2 linked regions of the Caenorhabditis elegans genome follow. The protein of the gene in region 1 interacts with the protein of each later gene in a pairwise test. Each region holds a gene or a part of one and is shown in the gene's direction. Other genes may lie near its edges.

What was found. Proteins that work in one complex are often made in the same cells at the same time.
Region 2: the proteins of rsp-2 (region 1) and mat-1 interact in a two-hybrid assay, tested with the Caenorhabditis elegans proteins (one large-scale study listed by BioGRID).

The regions. Positions count from the first base shown.
Region 1 is NC_003280.10:11,449,879-11,456,824, reverse strand, and holds rsp-2 (putative splicing factor, arginine/serine-rich 2), read left to right. Parts: upstream 1-3,869; 5' UTR 3,870-3,879; coding exon 3,880-3,999; intron 4,000-4,051; coding exon 4,052-4,309; intron 4,310-4,598; coding exon 4,599-4,675; intron 4,676-4,723; coding exon 4,724-5,020; intron 5,021-5,068; coding exon 5,069-5,162; 3' UTR 5,163-5,384; downstream 5,385-6,946. Other genes in the region: rsp-1 (putative splicing factor, arginine/serine-rich 1), read right to left, coding at 1,192-1,336, 1,384-1,674, 1,727-1,800, 2,312-2,384, 2,436-2,668, 2,722-2,844; W02B12.1 (Lipase_GDSL domain-containing protein), read right to left, coding at 5,461-5,601, 5,653-5,760, 5,810-5,914, 6,054-6,126, 6,176-6,262, 6,613-6,779, 6,825-6,946. UniProt on the Caenorhabditis elegans protein: Plays a functionally redundant role in spermatogenesis and growth rate control. Required for the development of somatic gonad structures and for progression from larval stage to adulthood.
Region 2 is NC_003279.8:5,121,933-5,130,828, reverse strand, and holds mat-1 (Cell division cycle protein 27 homolog), read left to right. Parts: upstream 1-3,627; 5' UTR 3,628-3,641; coding exon 3,642-3,813; intron 3,814-3,862; coding exon 3,863-4,010; intron 4,011-4,062; coding exon 4,063-4,323; intron 4,324-4,374; coding exon 4,375-4,550; intron 4,551-4,745; coding exon 4,746-4,953; intron 4,954-4,996; coding exon 4,997-5,096; intron 5,097-5,141; coding exon 5,142-5,297; intron 5,298-5,340; coding exon 5,341-5,482; intron 5,483-5,529; coding exon 5,530-6,028; intron 6,029-6,076; coding exon 6,077-6,432; intron 6,433-6,482; coding exon 6,483-6,637; 3' UTR 6,638-6,914; downstream 6,915-8,896. Other genes in the region: Y110A7A.7 (Fungal lipase-type domain-containing protein), read right to left, coding at 1-130, 293-604, 667-783, 841-1,050; prp-31 (U4/U6 small nuclear ribonucleoprotein Prp31), read right to left, coding at 1,295-2,488, 2,537-2,654, 2,703-2,815, 2,890-2,979; Y110A7A.9 (WD repeat-containing protein 11), read right to left, coding at 6,976-7,185, 7,228-7,916, 8,556-8,896. UniProt on the Caenorhabditis elegans protein: Probable component of the anaphase promoting complex/cyclosome (APC/C), a cell cycle-regulated E3 ubiquitin ligase that controls progression through mitosis and the G1 phase of the cell cycle.

The DNA.
Region 1 (6,946 bases):
ATCAGCTAACGCAACTGATAACGATTATGGATATTTTATGTGGCAAAGGTCAAAGGTATCATTTTATTATCCAGACGCCAGATATTGCGGGCCAAAAATATTGTTCCAGGTCTCGGCACGACAAATGTTTTTGAAGAGTACTGTAACTTTAGTTGCTTTGGAATTTCCAAAAAAAGTATCTATTTATTATTTAATAGAAATCCAAATAAAATAAAATAAAAAACTAATACATTTTAACATTTAAATCGGGAGAAAAACAATGAAAATGCATCAGCAACGAACGTTCAAAATTACAGTAATCTTTAAAGGCGCACACAGCAAAATGTTGTCGTGTCGAGACCGGCTAGGGCTGAAAACCACAAAATTTTCCGTCCGCGTAATATCGAACTTTTCCAGATCGACTCAAACACTGGATTCGATATTCCTATTCTTCGAGAAGCTCGTGCAAGATCTCAAGTATCGCCTGATCTTTATCTTTACCATTTTCCGTATTTTAATCCAGCCGAGTTTGATGTAGACTTTCCAGTTCGGGCTACTTATCACTGTCATGAATTCCCATACATTTGGGGAGTCTACAAGGACAATTATTTCGAATTTAACGACGATGATAGAACAGTCTCCGCATTTTTAATCACATCCTTGACAAATTTCATAAAGACGGGGTATCTGAAAAAGTATCAGCATAGCAGCCTACAGTAGCTTCCAAACTTTCAGAAATCCTTCAAGCTCGGAATTTAATTGGCCTTTATACGACTCATCAGTTTCTCATACAGTTATCGGGCCAAAGCCAACAACTGATAAACGTCTGTTAACTCTTTAAAATCATTAACACAATTCGAACTTCAGATCTTTTCCAATCTGATTACAACTTCTGGGATTCGATGGTTCAGCAATTCCAGTTTGATCTCATTACAGGCCTCACTGTTGAATCTCATATTGAAACTACGACGAGTTCTTCTTCTTCTCTAACATTCATTCCTGCTTTAATAATTCTTATAGCCATAATTACAAGTGCATAATTTCTCGAAATTTATCATTTGAGATCCATAAAATAAACAAATAAAAATTTTAAAAGTTCAGAGAACTGTGCTTATTCAGCTTGGGTAAAAAGAGAAACAGAAGTGGAATAAGGAAATTTGAATTTAGTGATTAATTAAATAACGGAACATTTGTTTTGGAACCGAAGCGAGTTTAGTTGTCACCGTCTCCATTATCCATTGGAGATGCGCTTCTCGAACGTCTCGGGGATCCCTTTTCCGAAGGCGAACGCGATCCGCGTGGTGGAGATGGAGAGCGATCGACCTTCTTTGGAGATCTTGATGGCGAACGAGACTTTCTGAAAATAGTTTGTTTTTTAAATCATCACTTTTATAATATCAATACCTGTTGTCAGCGCTGCGAGAACGGCTTCTGCTGCGAGACTTGGACTTCGATTCGCGTCGAGAGCGTTTTGGTGGGGAACGGCTACGGCTCTTTGAGCGACTCGAGCTGCGAGAGCGGGAGCGGCGACGATCACGACTGCGAGAACGGCTGCGAGAGCGACTGTTGGATCGAGAACGTGAGCGTCCAGCTTGCGAGTCGTCGATCATCTTGATCTTTCTTCCATTCAAATCCATTCCATCGCATTTCTCAATGCATCTTTTAAGATCGGATGGTGTTGCGAAGCAGAGAAGTCTGAAAATTGATTTGTTATTTTTCATCTTCTATCTACAAATTGCAAACTTACGCTTCATTTGGTCTCTTATGAGCTTCGGCATAGGTTGGTTCAACTCCTTGGCGGCGGACTTGGTCTTTGAGATCCTGAAAACACAATAAAGATGCTACATAATTACATCTGTCGATATTTGACGGCTTTCCAAGGTGTTGTGAAAAATGTGCGTGAATAGCGCACAATCGGGATTACCATATGCAATCCTTGCACATGTTTGATGCGGGATCATCCGAACCACTCAGCCTAACCACGCGAACACCAAAAACCCGAAATCACATCCCAGCGTGCAGGACCAAAAAGTACAGGAACCAAGAACATCAAGACTACGCGGGAGAAGGAGAGCCAATAATCATTTTGCGCCCTTTGTTCTGCGGTCCGACCATCATCAGACAGGCTCGGGATCACATGATACCAAATCACAAGAATCATCATCAACAACAAGATCCTCCAGTTATCATACAATCTTCTCCTGCTTAAATATAAAATATTAGGAAAGATGTTTTCCTCCCACTGACAAATTGAGATGATCGTGTTGTATTTTGTCAAGATAAAGTTTCAATAGATGTATTACAGTTTCTATCTCCGTTTCGTTTTACATACCTGCCAAGAAATTCGAGATGAGAGATTCTCGACGACGACGCGATGACGAGTGCTGTATGGACGACCGTAGCGACTGAAAATGTAAGTGGTTATTATTATTGCCACTATCGCTTCATTCAATTACCTTTCTCTTCTTGGTGGTCCACGATCATAACGATCGAATCTATCGCGTCCTCCACCGCCACCACCGCTGTATGAGCTGACTCGTGCACCTCCACGACCGCCACCACCGAAACCACCGCGGTCGCCACCGCCTCCTCGTGGTTTGGAATAATCCAATATGACACGCTCTCCACCGAGCTCCTTTCCGTTCAAATCATGAACTGCGTCTTCGGCGTCACGCTTGTCGTCGAACTCCTGAAAAAAAATGACATTAGGAAACTGAAATGGTTTTAGAAATTATAACTTACGACAAATCCAAAACCATTCTTGAGTAGGACGTCGCGAATTTGGCCATAACCACGGAAGAAATGCTCAATGTCCTTTTCAGAAACACGAGAAGTCAACCGACCGATGTAAATTCGAGCTGCCATGCTGAAAAGAAAGCGAATGAATGAATGGCCTGTATCACAGAGGAGAAAAATAATATTGAAGACGAGAAGATTATCGATTCACAAAATGTGCGCGTTTGAGAGCGCACTCACAGACAATGTAGCCATGACAACAACGCGCACCTTGGCCGATAAGCGGGGCAGCTGTTTTACTCAAAACACACTCATTTTCTCTGCGTACAACCACTCTTTTCTCGTCTGCGCCCTACATTTCTTAAATTAGTTGCAATGTTTTTCTCCTAATTAGTTTCAAACTCTGACCCACATATGAAAAAAATGATCTTGCATTTGCGTAATCCTAAAATTCCTTCCTTTCGAATTTGATGATTTTCTGCGTTTTTTAAAGTTCTAATATCGTTTCCTAGCTTGAAAATAATTTGAAGTTTTTTTTAAAGTAAATATATAACACTTAACGCTTTCACATCCAGGTTAGCCAATGGACTCATTTTGCTTTGATATTCTTTATTTGAGATTCTGTGAATCAATGCCTTTCATCACAAAAAAAACATCTTAAAGCGCTTATTCGACTTATTTTCATATAAAATCCTAAAACCACAAGATTATAGTTTGCATTCTGATGAAAAGTTAAGAGCATATCAACCTGAACACCTACGCAGGCGAAATTCAATGCAGGATTAGTGAAATACTTTAAAAATAAGAAGAAATGCCGCACAAAATGCGAAAATCAGTTTCAAATGAGGGCACCCGCGACGCAACCGCAACGCTTAGAGCACTAAGTGCGTGTCAGAACGCTGCTGACGCATTAATGGGATACCATTGCGCGTTTCTCGTTTTATAACTCTGTGGCATCGTCCTGTGCTCCCATTTTATTGATTATCGACTTAATTTCAGCGCGTCGCGTGCATGTGCATGTACATATTGCCTCCTATTTAATGTGCAATGCCCAAATTCTCTTCCTCTCTGGCCACAATAATTTTTATTTCTCCAGACTTTTCTTATTTCTTCTCTCTTTTGAATTGACTTTTCTCATTCTTCACTTATTTCAGACCTCTAAACATGGTTCGTGTCTACATCGGTCGTTTGCCAAATAGAGCATCTGATCGTGATGTCGAGCACTTCTTCCGCGGATATGGAAAGCTGTCTGATGTCATAATGAAGAACGGATTTGGTTTCGTGGTAAGAGATAACATATTTTCGTCAGAATATCTTGAATATGTCATAATTTCAGGATTTTCAAGACCAGCGCGATGCCGATGACGCTGTCCACGATTTGAATGGGAAAGAGCTTTGTGGAGAGAGAGTCATTCTTGAGTTTCCACGGCGTAAAGTTGGGTACAACGAGGAAAGAAGTGGGAGTGGTTTCAGAGGACGTGAGCCAACGTTCAGAAAAGGCGGCGAGCGCCAGTTTTCCAACCGATACAGTCGTCCGTGCTCGACTAGATTCCGTTTGGTGATCGATAATTTGTCTACTCGTTACAGTTGGCAGGTAAGATACATGACTGCGAGCCATAGCGATTCACAAGTTGCGTGTTTGAGTGTGATTGAACAACTAACGAAATACTACCCCCGTTCCAAATTTTACTGAAAACTGTCACTCATTTTTTCAAAACGAACATTTTGAATGCTACAGCAGCAACTCAGTGGGTGTGCCATTTGCCAATACAATTTGCAATTCAATTGCTCTCAATCAATTTCCTCAGTCAATGGCATTCTTCTTCCTCCTATCAATCTGGCCCTACTTCACAAACAATCAATACCCTGTACCTGAATTTTAGGACATCAAGGACCACATCCGCAAGCTGGGAATCGAGCCGACCTACTCCGAGGCGCACAAGAGAAATGTCAACCAAGCGTATGATATGCACTTCTTTTAAATGTAATTCATCGTTTTTATTTTTAGAATCGTATGCTTCACTTCCCATGACGACTTGCGTGATGCGATGAACAAGTTGCAAGGTGAAGACCTGAACGGAAGAAAGCTCAAATGCACGGATGAGACCCGTGACCGCAGCCGTTCAAGAAGTCCACGCCGTCGCTCTCGATCCAGAAGTCCCACTAGAAGCCGTTCTCCACCAGCTCGTCGTCGCAGTCCTGGATCTGACAGATCGGACAGAAAGAGCCGTAGTGCATCACCAAAGAAACGATCCGACAAGAGAGCTCGCAGTGAGAGCAAGAGCCGTTCTCGTTCCGGCGGAAGGTAAAAATAAATTTATGATTAGTGAGAAAATACATTTCTATTTTCCAGACGTTCCCGCTCCAACTCTCCACCAAACCGTTCTCCATCACCAAAGAAAAGACGCGACAACTCTTCTCCACGTTCCGGATCTGCATCTCCATAATTTTATTTATCATTGCACCTCTCATGTGAAATTTCCTGTTCCATCTATTTTTTTATCGTAACGTCAGTAACTCGTGCAAAAAGCCGAATCATGTAATCGACCAATCTAATGTTGTGCGTCTCTCTCTTTCTCTCTCTCTGTTTGTGTGTTTTTTTGTCTAAAAACTACCACTAATTTAATATATTATTTTTATAAAATTCAATAAAACAATTTGGATGCAAACTTTGCAATTTTTTATCGAATACATAACACTTCTCATAAAGTTCATTTGAAAACAATTGAATATTCGCGAAAAAGTTTAATCTAGCTCGCTCAACGTGAAGTGTGAAGCACAGTTATTGCTGTTTTTTGTAGTCGGGAAGAACGGACAGTTTGTACTTGGGCAATGTAATCCAACTGAAGGATCACTCAAATTGACACTGGTTTGTTTGAATCCAACCTAGAAAAATCCCATTAAACAATAAAATCATTATTCCGGAGTTATGATTACTGGTTGAACAATTGTGTTCCAAAGATGCATTCCAATATTTCCATGCCCGTAAGCCGAGAAATGGAAGCAATCTGGAGCAAAGAATGTCATGTCAACAACTCCTGGGCTCTGGAAAATGCAAATATTTAAATGAAATTTAAATTCAAAATGTGCCAACCGCGTATGGTGGATCCAGAATCCCGTTGAAAAATGGTTGAACTACAAACGTGAAATCATCCTTGTTATCGAATAATCCCGTGTTTTGAATATCTTTTTCAGCATTCTGAAAACTTTTAAAAATTTAGAAAGATGTGTCCCACCACGACCGAAACTTTTCAGCTACCGTACCGTATGCGACACTACGGTATCTGAAAAGTTTGGCTCACGTCAAGACCTGGGACTGGTAATAATCCAAAACAAACCATATATCCGAAGCAAACTCCTTGAATATCATCATCAGTGAATTGTTTGTTGGACTCACAATCACATTCGAATCTAAAAGCCAAAAGTTAAACAGAATTTTTAGGAATTCAAGTTCCCCTACGTATGAAGTCCTTCGCAGAAATACTTCTTCTTGTCAATCTTACGAAGCATTCTCATGTTGAACATTCCGGTCAGTGAGACAATTGTTCTGGAATAAATATTTGAATTTTTAAACTCACGCCACGAAGAAAAAGTTTTGCAAACTGAAATTCTACTGAACAGTTTAAATTTGAAATTCGTGCGCCTCTAAAGAGTACTGTAATTTTAAAATTTTGTCTTTTTGCTCACAATTTGTTAAAATTCATCTGGTTTTTATTATTTTTTCTTAGTTTTTGTATAAATATTTTTTAAATAAAAAACTTTATGGAAATTCAGTTTGAAATTACAGTACTTTTTAAATGGCACACACCCGTTTTAACTTTACAAAATATTATCGCGCCGAGACCGGATACCGTATTCTTAGCGCAAAAATTGCAAAATTTCGCGTCTATTCAATACCTTGGCAGATTATCCTGAAGAATCTGAACAGCTGCGATGATATTCTTCTCAAAAGTTGCATTTCCATGAAGAGCCGTCGAGTTGAAGTACGGATCTTCACAATAGACACAAATATCGTTTGCCCCAATGAAAATGTTGACAAGTTTCCAGTCTTCTTTCACGTTAATCTGAAAGCTTTGATTTGAAAAGGGGGCTCAGAAGCTCTAAATTACTTCAGAATGAGCATGCATAGTGTTGACCAGAGCTCTTGCCTGACCGATAATATCCTTGGATTCAGCTCCAGGAACTCCCATATTCAAGTGAGAAACTTCCCATACGTTTTCCGAGCCGATTC
Region 2 (8,896 bases), on another chromosome or scaffold:
CTTTGAACGTATCTTGACTTGTCATGTTTCCAGGAAACCAGACTTCGACTCCATGGTGATAGGATCCATGATTGTAGAATGGTATACACCATCTGGCATAGCTTTCCACGCAGAACGGAATATGTGCAACCTAGAAAAAAAACTTTTAATAGTCTTTTGAAAGAGGATATTTTGAACCGCCAGAAAAAAATTTCGAACTTGTTTGAGAAGTTTCATTACGAAATTCGCTCATTTGGGTGCATTTTGAGCCTAATAAAGCATTAAAAAAATCTTAAATATTAGTCTCCCTCACAATATCTCTTCCATGAATCAGTCTCCAGCTTCCTCCAGCAACTAATTTGTCATGTGTCATGGCATATTCGAGATTTCCAACTCTAGGCTGTCCGAATGTGATTGAAAAGGTTCGACTCGACGTTTCGGGAAAGTTTCTAACGAAAACAGTCGATGCAATACTTGCAATAGCTCCGCCCAATGAGTGTCCTGTGAACACAATTTTATGATCTGGAAGTGAGTCTTTCAGTCCTCGCAGTAGTTTTTCCATTGGTGACCACATTGTTTTTAGAGCAGAGTAGAAGTAATAATGAACTGATCCAGCATTGTGCAACTGTAAAATAAGTTTTCTTTGCTCTGTGAGTACTCAGACAAACACTTGAAACATGAGCCTACTTTGTGCTTTGGCCGACCAATGCTTTCGATAAGTTCAGTTACCAGCTGCTCTTTCGATTTTGTTCCACTGAAACTGACGAATATTGTGTCGTTGTCGGCAGCAATCACACTCCAGCACTGGAAAAAATTAAATCAGATGATTTTTGAATATTTAAAGATCTCATGATCTTTTACCTCGTCACGCATATAATCGCACTCCACCTTTTTGAAAAACAATAAAGTCGCATTGTTTTTCGAGATGCAAGGTTCCGGATCGATGGAATACGCAGCCGCTGCGAATTCCAGAGTTCTCTTGCTCAATTCATAGTCAAAATCTCGATTTACTTTCTTGCAATCAGCTAGAAAGAAGAAAAGACATGAAAAAAGAGCGAACCCGTTTCGCATATGGGTCGAAATTCCGATCGAAAATCACTGAGACCTGGAGAGGAAAATTGGGAGGATTGAGAGTTGTTTACGAGGTGAAAAGTTGTTAGATTGGATAAGTGTAAAGATATATTTAAGAGGGGAGAAATTCCACCAATTGGTTAGTATTTAGTTGTTGAGTTTTATATAAATGAAAAAGTCGATTCATTTGGTTTGAGATTCAAGAATTCAGAATTCAGGAAGAGGAAAGTAACAAATAAATATATTATAAAGTCATCCGATCAATATTAACAAAACTTCCAGACGAGGAGAAATAGTTTGAAGTCGATGAACATTGTTGCTGTTCTTGTGCAGCTGGATTGATAATCTCTAGACCTTGAATTGGTGTGAACGTGACAGATGACGCAGTTCCCGCCATTTTGCTTCGAATACTTGTCATTCCTCCAGCTGCTTTCTGTCTCTCCATCTGCCGCATCATCTTTTGCGACATTCTTGCTCTGGTCTTCTGATCCACTGCGGCTGTTCGGATTCTTCCACCAGTCACATTTCCGGTCTTCACCTGCCCAATATCGAATCCCATGTGCTCTTGCATTACATCTTCTCCCAATTCTCCAAAGTTCATGCGATTGGCACTTTTCCGAAGATCCGTCATTCCGAGGCGTTCCTTCATCTTTCTTGTTCGACGTCCTCCACGTTTTTTACTTGCCTTATCCAAAGGTTTTGGAAGCGCTTTGTTAGCTTTCACTGGTGGTGGCTCCAACATTTTTTCAAATTTACTTTCCACCAACGCCAGAAATTCCGCGCCTTTTTCTCCGTTGGATGACTCGTGTTGAGCATCAATTCTAGCAACTAAAGTCACTTTTGCAGCTAAAATTTTGGCCGCTTTGTTTTTCAAATCTGGAGGCATCTTTTGAACCAACTGATGGAAATAGATAAAACCATGATGTGGATTTGTGGACACTGTTGAGAATCCAATCAAATTCTTTTTCGTTTTTCCGAGAACCTGTACATTACATGATGGCATTGTGGCTAGTGGAGACAATCCTCCGGCTTGTGAAACTAGATGGGCAGTAGTAGTTGAGCCGAGCAAAGCAACCAGATTCGGGGCAATCAGAGCCATTCGCCATTCTACAAGTTGGTGCATTTCGAGACGATTGACATGAAGTTGAGCAGCCAAATTACAAGCATCCATGACGGTTTCCAGCTCATTTGGCTCAAGCTTGACTCCTTGTGTTGTTGAGACTGTTACACTGACCACCATGCATGTTGAGGCATCTAGAATTCCGCCGAGTTGTTCTTTCACTACCTTGCTGTTGATCTCGTTTCCCAGTAACTGTACAGTAGCCAAATAGGTCAACGCGTTAGGAACAAGCGTTTCTAGTTCAGGAAAGCGCTTTTCATATTTATCACGAACAAATTTGTGAATCACATTGATCTCGTTGTCGATATCTGCAGCGACCTGAAATTAATCATTGCCTTTTTTGTTTCTTTTTCATGATGTACTTACGTGGGATAATTTAACAATAAGCTTGTATTGTGGATCTGCTTCAAGAGGAGCTGTCACCTTCACTTCATCCTGAGGCCGTTTCAGTTCAACTTCCAATTGTTTCACTAGTGCTAAATATCTGTAAAAGTATTTTAAAATTATATATTAAAACAAAACTAAAACTAACTCATCAGATCTGGCAAGCTTTGCTACATCGTGCACTGATGCATATTTAGTTGTATCCATCGGTTCTTCTGTTGCTTCTTCAATATCATCATCGAGTTCTTCCTTTTTGACGCCCTGAAAATTACAATTTTATCAGATGCTGCAAAAACTCTAGATTTTAAATAATTTAAATTTTAAATTCGATTTACCTTAAGGTTTTCTCCGAGATCTGGAATGTCTTCCAAATCCTCATCGTCGTCATCGTCAAAATCAGCCATAAGTTCTTCAGCCAACGACATTTTTAGGTAGTTTAAAGATTAACTGAAATTTTAGATTAAAATAGTATTTCAATTCTCTTAGTTAAAAGAAAAAATGAACAAGGCAAAAAGAAAAAAAGAAAAGAAAAAGAAAAAAAACAATTTCGAAAAACATTAGGATTGCGAAGTACGGTATGCGACTCCGCAAACACAAAAGCACGCAATGCACCTCATCTGACGACAATTGAAGACCGGCCGCCGCCGGCTGTAGTCGGGCGCAAAAGTTCACGTTGTACGCCGTTCCCCGTCTTTCTCGTTTCTCTTCATTGCTGCAGTTCGCTGGAAATGATCTACTCTTCAATTCGATGACATTTTCTCGGCAATCGATTCATACAACGTTCACATGCCTGCTGGCAAACTATTGCATTTTTTCCAAGCTTTGTTTGAAACCAATCGATAAAACTCAAATGATCCTCATTTAATGTGAACGCCTGATCAATTTTTCTTCGATTTCTTGGCACTTTTAGTTTTTAAAGTTTGAGTTCAATTGTCAGTATAATCGATACAATAACCTAAGGGATGTATTTGAGAAATGGTCAAATTGATTTTCGTTTCCCTTTTGTTCGCCGATATCTCTTTTCTTGAATATCACCGCTTTTCTCGATTTAATAGTTTATTTAGCGTTTCTTCAGGTCGCGAAGAGAATGAAAGAATCAGCTGCGTCTGTAGCTGTGCGGCCTCAATTGAGAGAGGTGTTCGAGCGTTTTCCAGCGGACGCACACCGAACAATTGAAGATGAGATTCATGAAATGATGAAGTGTTACGCTTTTGATGATGCTATTTTTCTAGCCGAGCTTCATTACGAAACCGATAAAAGTGGTTTTCGTTTTTAATTCATATTTTAATTTCAATAACTTTTTTTCAGGCAACAACTCCGAATCTCTTCTTCTATACGCTGATTGTCTGTATAGAGCCAATAAGAAAGAGGAATGTTATGGTCTCCTTAGTTCAGTTAAATTGAGCGGAGCTAGACTCTTCTATCTACTTGCAAGGGTATCCTACGATTTAAATAAGTTAGTTTGTAATATATATGTATATTTATTCATTATTTTAATTTTTCTTTAGAATCGATGACTGTAGAGGAGCTCTTTTCGAACATGACGATGGAGTGATACGGAAAGATATCCTGGAAGAGCCACGGGTTGCATCACATGCTAATTTGCTTCATGCTCAAATGCTTTGCGATGAAAGTTACATGGATCTGGCTTTAGAATCTTGTCAAAAGTCTCTGGATGAGAATATTTTGTTGTGGTCAGCTATCATAACTTATTTACGGTTTGGAGGTCATGATCTCGCCCATACTTTTGAAAAACATCACCGAAAATCGTAAGATTCTGAGAATGTTTAAATTTAAATATTATGCCGACATTTTTATAGAAATGGTCTATACCTGGATAGTCCAGCTTCGAGTTTGAAATCCGAAACACCATCACCAAATGTTCCTGGGCCGTCGTCTTCTTCAGCTGCCAGCACTGCTGAACCTTCCAGACTGGAAAGTTCGGTCAGACGATCTACACGCGGTACGATTGCTTCGGCGAATCGCGAGACAAGAAGTGAGTGAAGCGGAAAAAACTATTGAAAAATTTTCCGTAAATTTATAGGAAGTATTTATAGGATTTTCTTTTTTGGAGAATAAAATTTTGGAATATCAGTTTAGAAAAAAATCCGACTCTAAAAATGCGATTTTTCAAAATCCACTATTAAAAATTTTTGAAAGATCATGCTGAATCAGAAATTAAAAGTTACAGATACCACATCAAACATCACTCCAAGACAATCCACTCCTGGATCCACACCTTCACGTATTAATCCAACTGCCCCGAGAAAAAGCTCCAGAATCAGTGAAATGACGACACGACGTACCGAATCTTCAGTCACTGGATCTCGATCATCGTTATTCACAGAACCCGAGAGACCACACACGAGGGCTACACATAGCTCTAGAAATCGCGCAAAGTGAGTGGTGACAGATTTTGAAATTTTATTTCAATAATTTCAGTGCTGCACTAAACAGCGATACGGAGAATTCGAATGCATCGAATACGAGAACTCGGAGTGGAATTGCATCAGTTACCAGAGGGTCATCGTCGTCCCAGAGGGTAACATTTATTTGGACACTGAAATTAATAATTTTCTAAATTTAGACCAATCCTGTGCGTACTTCAATCAGAATTGCTGACGCCGCCGCTGCTGCAAACAAGACTGCCAAAACTCTGAGTCAAAGAAGACGAAATGAAAAACAACCTTTGGTATCCAGAAACTCAAATCTTGCACGGAGTTTGTCGGGTTCTACCAATTCTGTAAGAATATAATGACCAGTTATTTTTCTTCAATTATTAGCAGCTTCAGGTGGCATCAACAGCTAGTGAGCGTCCATCAGAAGATGAGGTATCCCAGATCAATCCTCCTCTCCCTTCTGTGGCTTCTTCTTTGAACAATGATGAACCTATGGATATTGTCGATGGAGTTTACGATCCAGAATACAGTATGAAATCAGTTAATCAAAAATTAATGATTTTATTTGTTCTTCAGAGAAATTATTTGATGTTTATCAACACATTGCACTTATTGAAGAGTCAATCAGTACATACAATTGGAGATCGGCTGATGCTTTATTCGCAAAACTCGATAGAGATATCATTCTTAACACGTCTATGGTCCGTCTTCAGTTGGGAAGAGCTTGCTTCGAGCAATCCGAATACAGAGAGTGCCGGAACATTCTCGATGATTTGCATAAACGTAGAAAGTGGAAGGTTGACGGAACCGAGCTATTGTCCACCTCAATGTGGCACCTTCAAGATACTCATGCTCTTTCGGCTCTTTCTCAGATTTTGACAACTGAATCACGGGAACGGCCACAGAGTTGGTGTGCCGCTGGAAATTGCTTCTCATTACAAAGACAGCATACTCAGGCAATTGAATGTATGGAGAGGGCTATTCAACTTGACAAACGATTCGCCTACGCATACACTTTATTGGGGCATGAGCTTATCGTTCAGGATGAACTTGACAAAGCTGCGGGATCTTTCAGGTATTTATAGGATCATGAAAGTTTTTAATTAAAACATTAAATTTTCAGATCAGCACTTCTCCTTTCTCCTCGCGATTACCGTGCCTGGTATGGTCTCGGGTTGGTTCACCTAAAGAAAGAGCAAAATCTGACTGCACTGACCAATATCCAGAAGGCTGTTAATATTAATCCAACGAATCGTGCAATGCTCTGCACACTGTCCCAAATCGAGCAACAACGTGGACAAATCGATACTGCTCTCGTGCTGATTGACAGGGCTCTCACTCTGAATCCTCTTGATGTGGCTTGCCGTTTCAATAGATCACGTCTCTTGTTTGAGGCGAATCGAAATGAAGAATGTCTAGTGGAACTTGATAAATTGAAAGCTAGTTCGCCAGATGAAGCATTCATTTTCCATCTGCTTGGTACGTATTAAAATTAGTTATACTATTTTATATAAATTTGAATTTTTCAGCACGAGTTCACCGAAGAATGGGAAATACTCATTTGGCTCTTCTTAATTATAGCTGGGCGGCTGAGCTGGATCCACGTGGCGAGCAGAACATCACTGACTCGAATGTTATCAATCGCGAGGAATACGAGGACGACGAGTACGGATCGCCAGTATAATTTTCATAACTCGTTCTACTTCTCGATAGCTCATCATAGCCAATTTCGTGCTATAATCGTCTTTTTTGGCGCGGGTTTTTCACTCGTCTTTTCTTTCTTTTTTACTTTTACTCTGTTCTATACTAATCGCGGATATATATATATAGTCTGTCGAAGAAAATGCTTTGAGACTATAAACTCATTTTTTGTCAAATTCTTAAATTGTAAAGCAGGAACCCATTTATCTATATTCACAAGCTTTTCAAAATTCGCCTTATAAATTAGAATTTAAATTATATATCACTTTCCGCTATTTACACAGTGATTATTTCACAACCAAACACGAAAAAACTAATTAATCACGGTGTAGGACAAGAAGACAGAGGTGGAGTGGATGTGGTTGTTCGTAGAATCAATCGAGCTAGAATAGCATCAGCAGAGGATGTCGCTTCAACAACGTCGGGCCAATTACGACGAGATGCTTCGGCTAAAACACGAATTTGTTTAGCCTCGTCGGCAAGGTGTCCGATCCATTTTGACTCGACTTCAGTAGGATCGTCCAATCCCATCTATAAAATTAATTTATACAGATTATTTTTTTGTTAACGTACCTTTGCATATACAATACTTTTCGTCCATAATTTCTGTGATTGTAGATACTTGCAAGCATCTCCACCAGCTCCGACCAAGAACAATAGTTCAACTCCGTCTTCAATCAAATCGGATGCAATCAAATTTGTAGCGATGAGCTTTATCAGAGATTTTGCTTTTTCGTTATCCTGACAAGAGACTAGCAACGCTGCTTTGATGCTTGCGTACCGAAGATCTGCAGAAACAATCAATCGATCGGTGACTCTTTCCTTTGCAGATCCTCCAACAACTACAGCTTGTTCGACTAATCTCCTTTCCATTGCTTGTTCAGCTGCACACGCTACACTGATAACTCGTGATTCTCGTTCTTTAAATGCTCCATTCTCCCAGAACATTTGTAGATTTGGAGCCAAATGTTCTGTTTCCGAATGAGCAAATCGATCGATGACAATGGATAGAAGATCAGCCGAAAAGTGATCCCCGATAAATCGCCGTACTACTCGTTCACGTTGAAGTTTTGATAAGTCAGCTTCAAGTGTTTCAATTTGAGGTCTCTGATTCTGATCGATCCATGCAATTGCGTCTTCGAGTGTGCTGTCCTCTGATTTATCAGCCGAACTTCTGTCTTCTGAAGATTTTCGGCTTCCGGATCCTTCAAGGTGTTTACGAACATTATTCATCGAGTCATCTTTGTAGAGGAATGGGATTTCTGAAATTTGATAGTTTTAAAAACAAATCTCCAATTTTAAACTTTCGTGAATATATCAGAAATTTCAGATTTACTTTTTTATCTTTTACAACAGTAAAAATCTCCGAACTGTTCTACTGTGAATGAGCATATTTCAAATTCCAATTTCTGTTATTTCTAACCTATCATTCGACGTAAGGCGGTTGTAAAATGTCGTCCAGGGCAATGGACAACATTTACGACCTACTGACCCTAAATATTTGTTTCCTGGCAATAAAATTAAGCGCAAAATATTTACGGTTCAAACGAAAAACGAAGCAAGAAAGTAACAGGGCTGCGATGTTTTTTGGTTTTTTTGGTAATAGCATCAAATTTTTTTTGGGCTTTTTGGTGTTACACAAAATTCAATTTTTTTTCGGTCCCAGCCCTGGTAAGTAAGACTATGTATATAAAAATTGCAAAATTTCATGTAAAAAACAGAGACCCGAAGAACTCGGGGGATGTCCAATTGGGGGGATTACCAAGAAATGGGCGTATTGCAAGCCACGGTTCTGTGGGCGGGGCCAATCCCCCGAGTTGGTAATCCCCCCAATTGGACATCCCCCGAGTTCTTCGGGTCTCAAAAAATATTTTCGTACAATAAACTAATGAAGACGTTACCTTTCTCCAAAATCGGTTGATTTTTCGTATTAGAAACCACAAAACGCAATGTATTATCATTTGAAAGAACCAACGGCGATAATCCACAAAGGTCCGCATCAAGACATAATTTCGATGAATCCATACGAATTGATTGTATTCGAGTCATTGCCTCCGTATCCCATAGAGTAACTTCTTTCGAATGAAGTACAGCCATCGTATGATCTCCAGCAAGTCTTGAGAATGTCATTCGATGAACTCTTGAATGTGATACATCTCGTACTTGTCTAGATTGTCTTCTACCTAAATCCCAAACAACCAGATTTCCTTCAACATCACCAACTGCCAGAATATCATCCTTC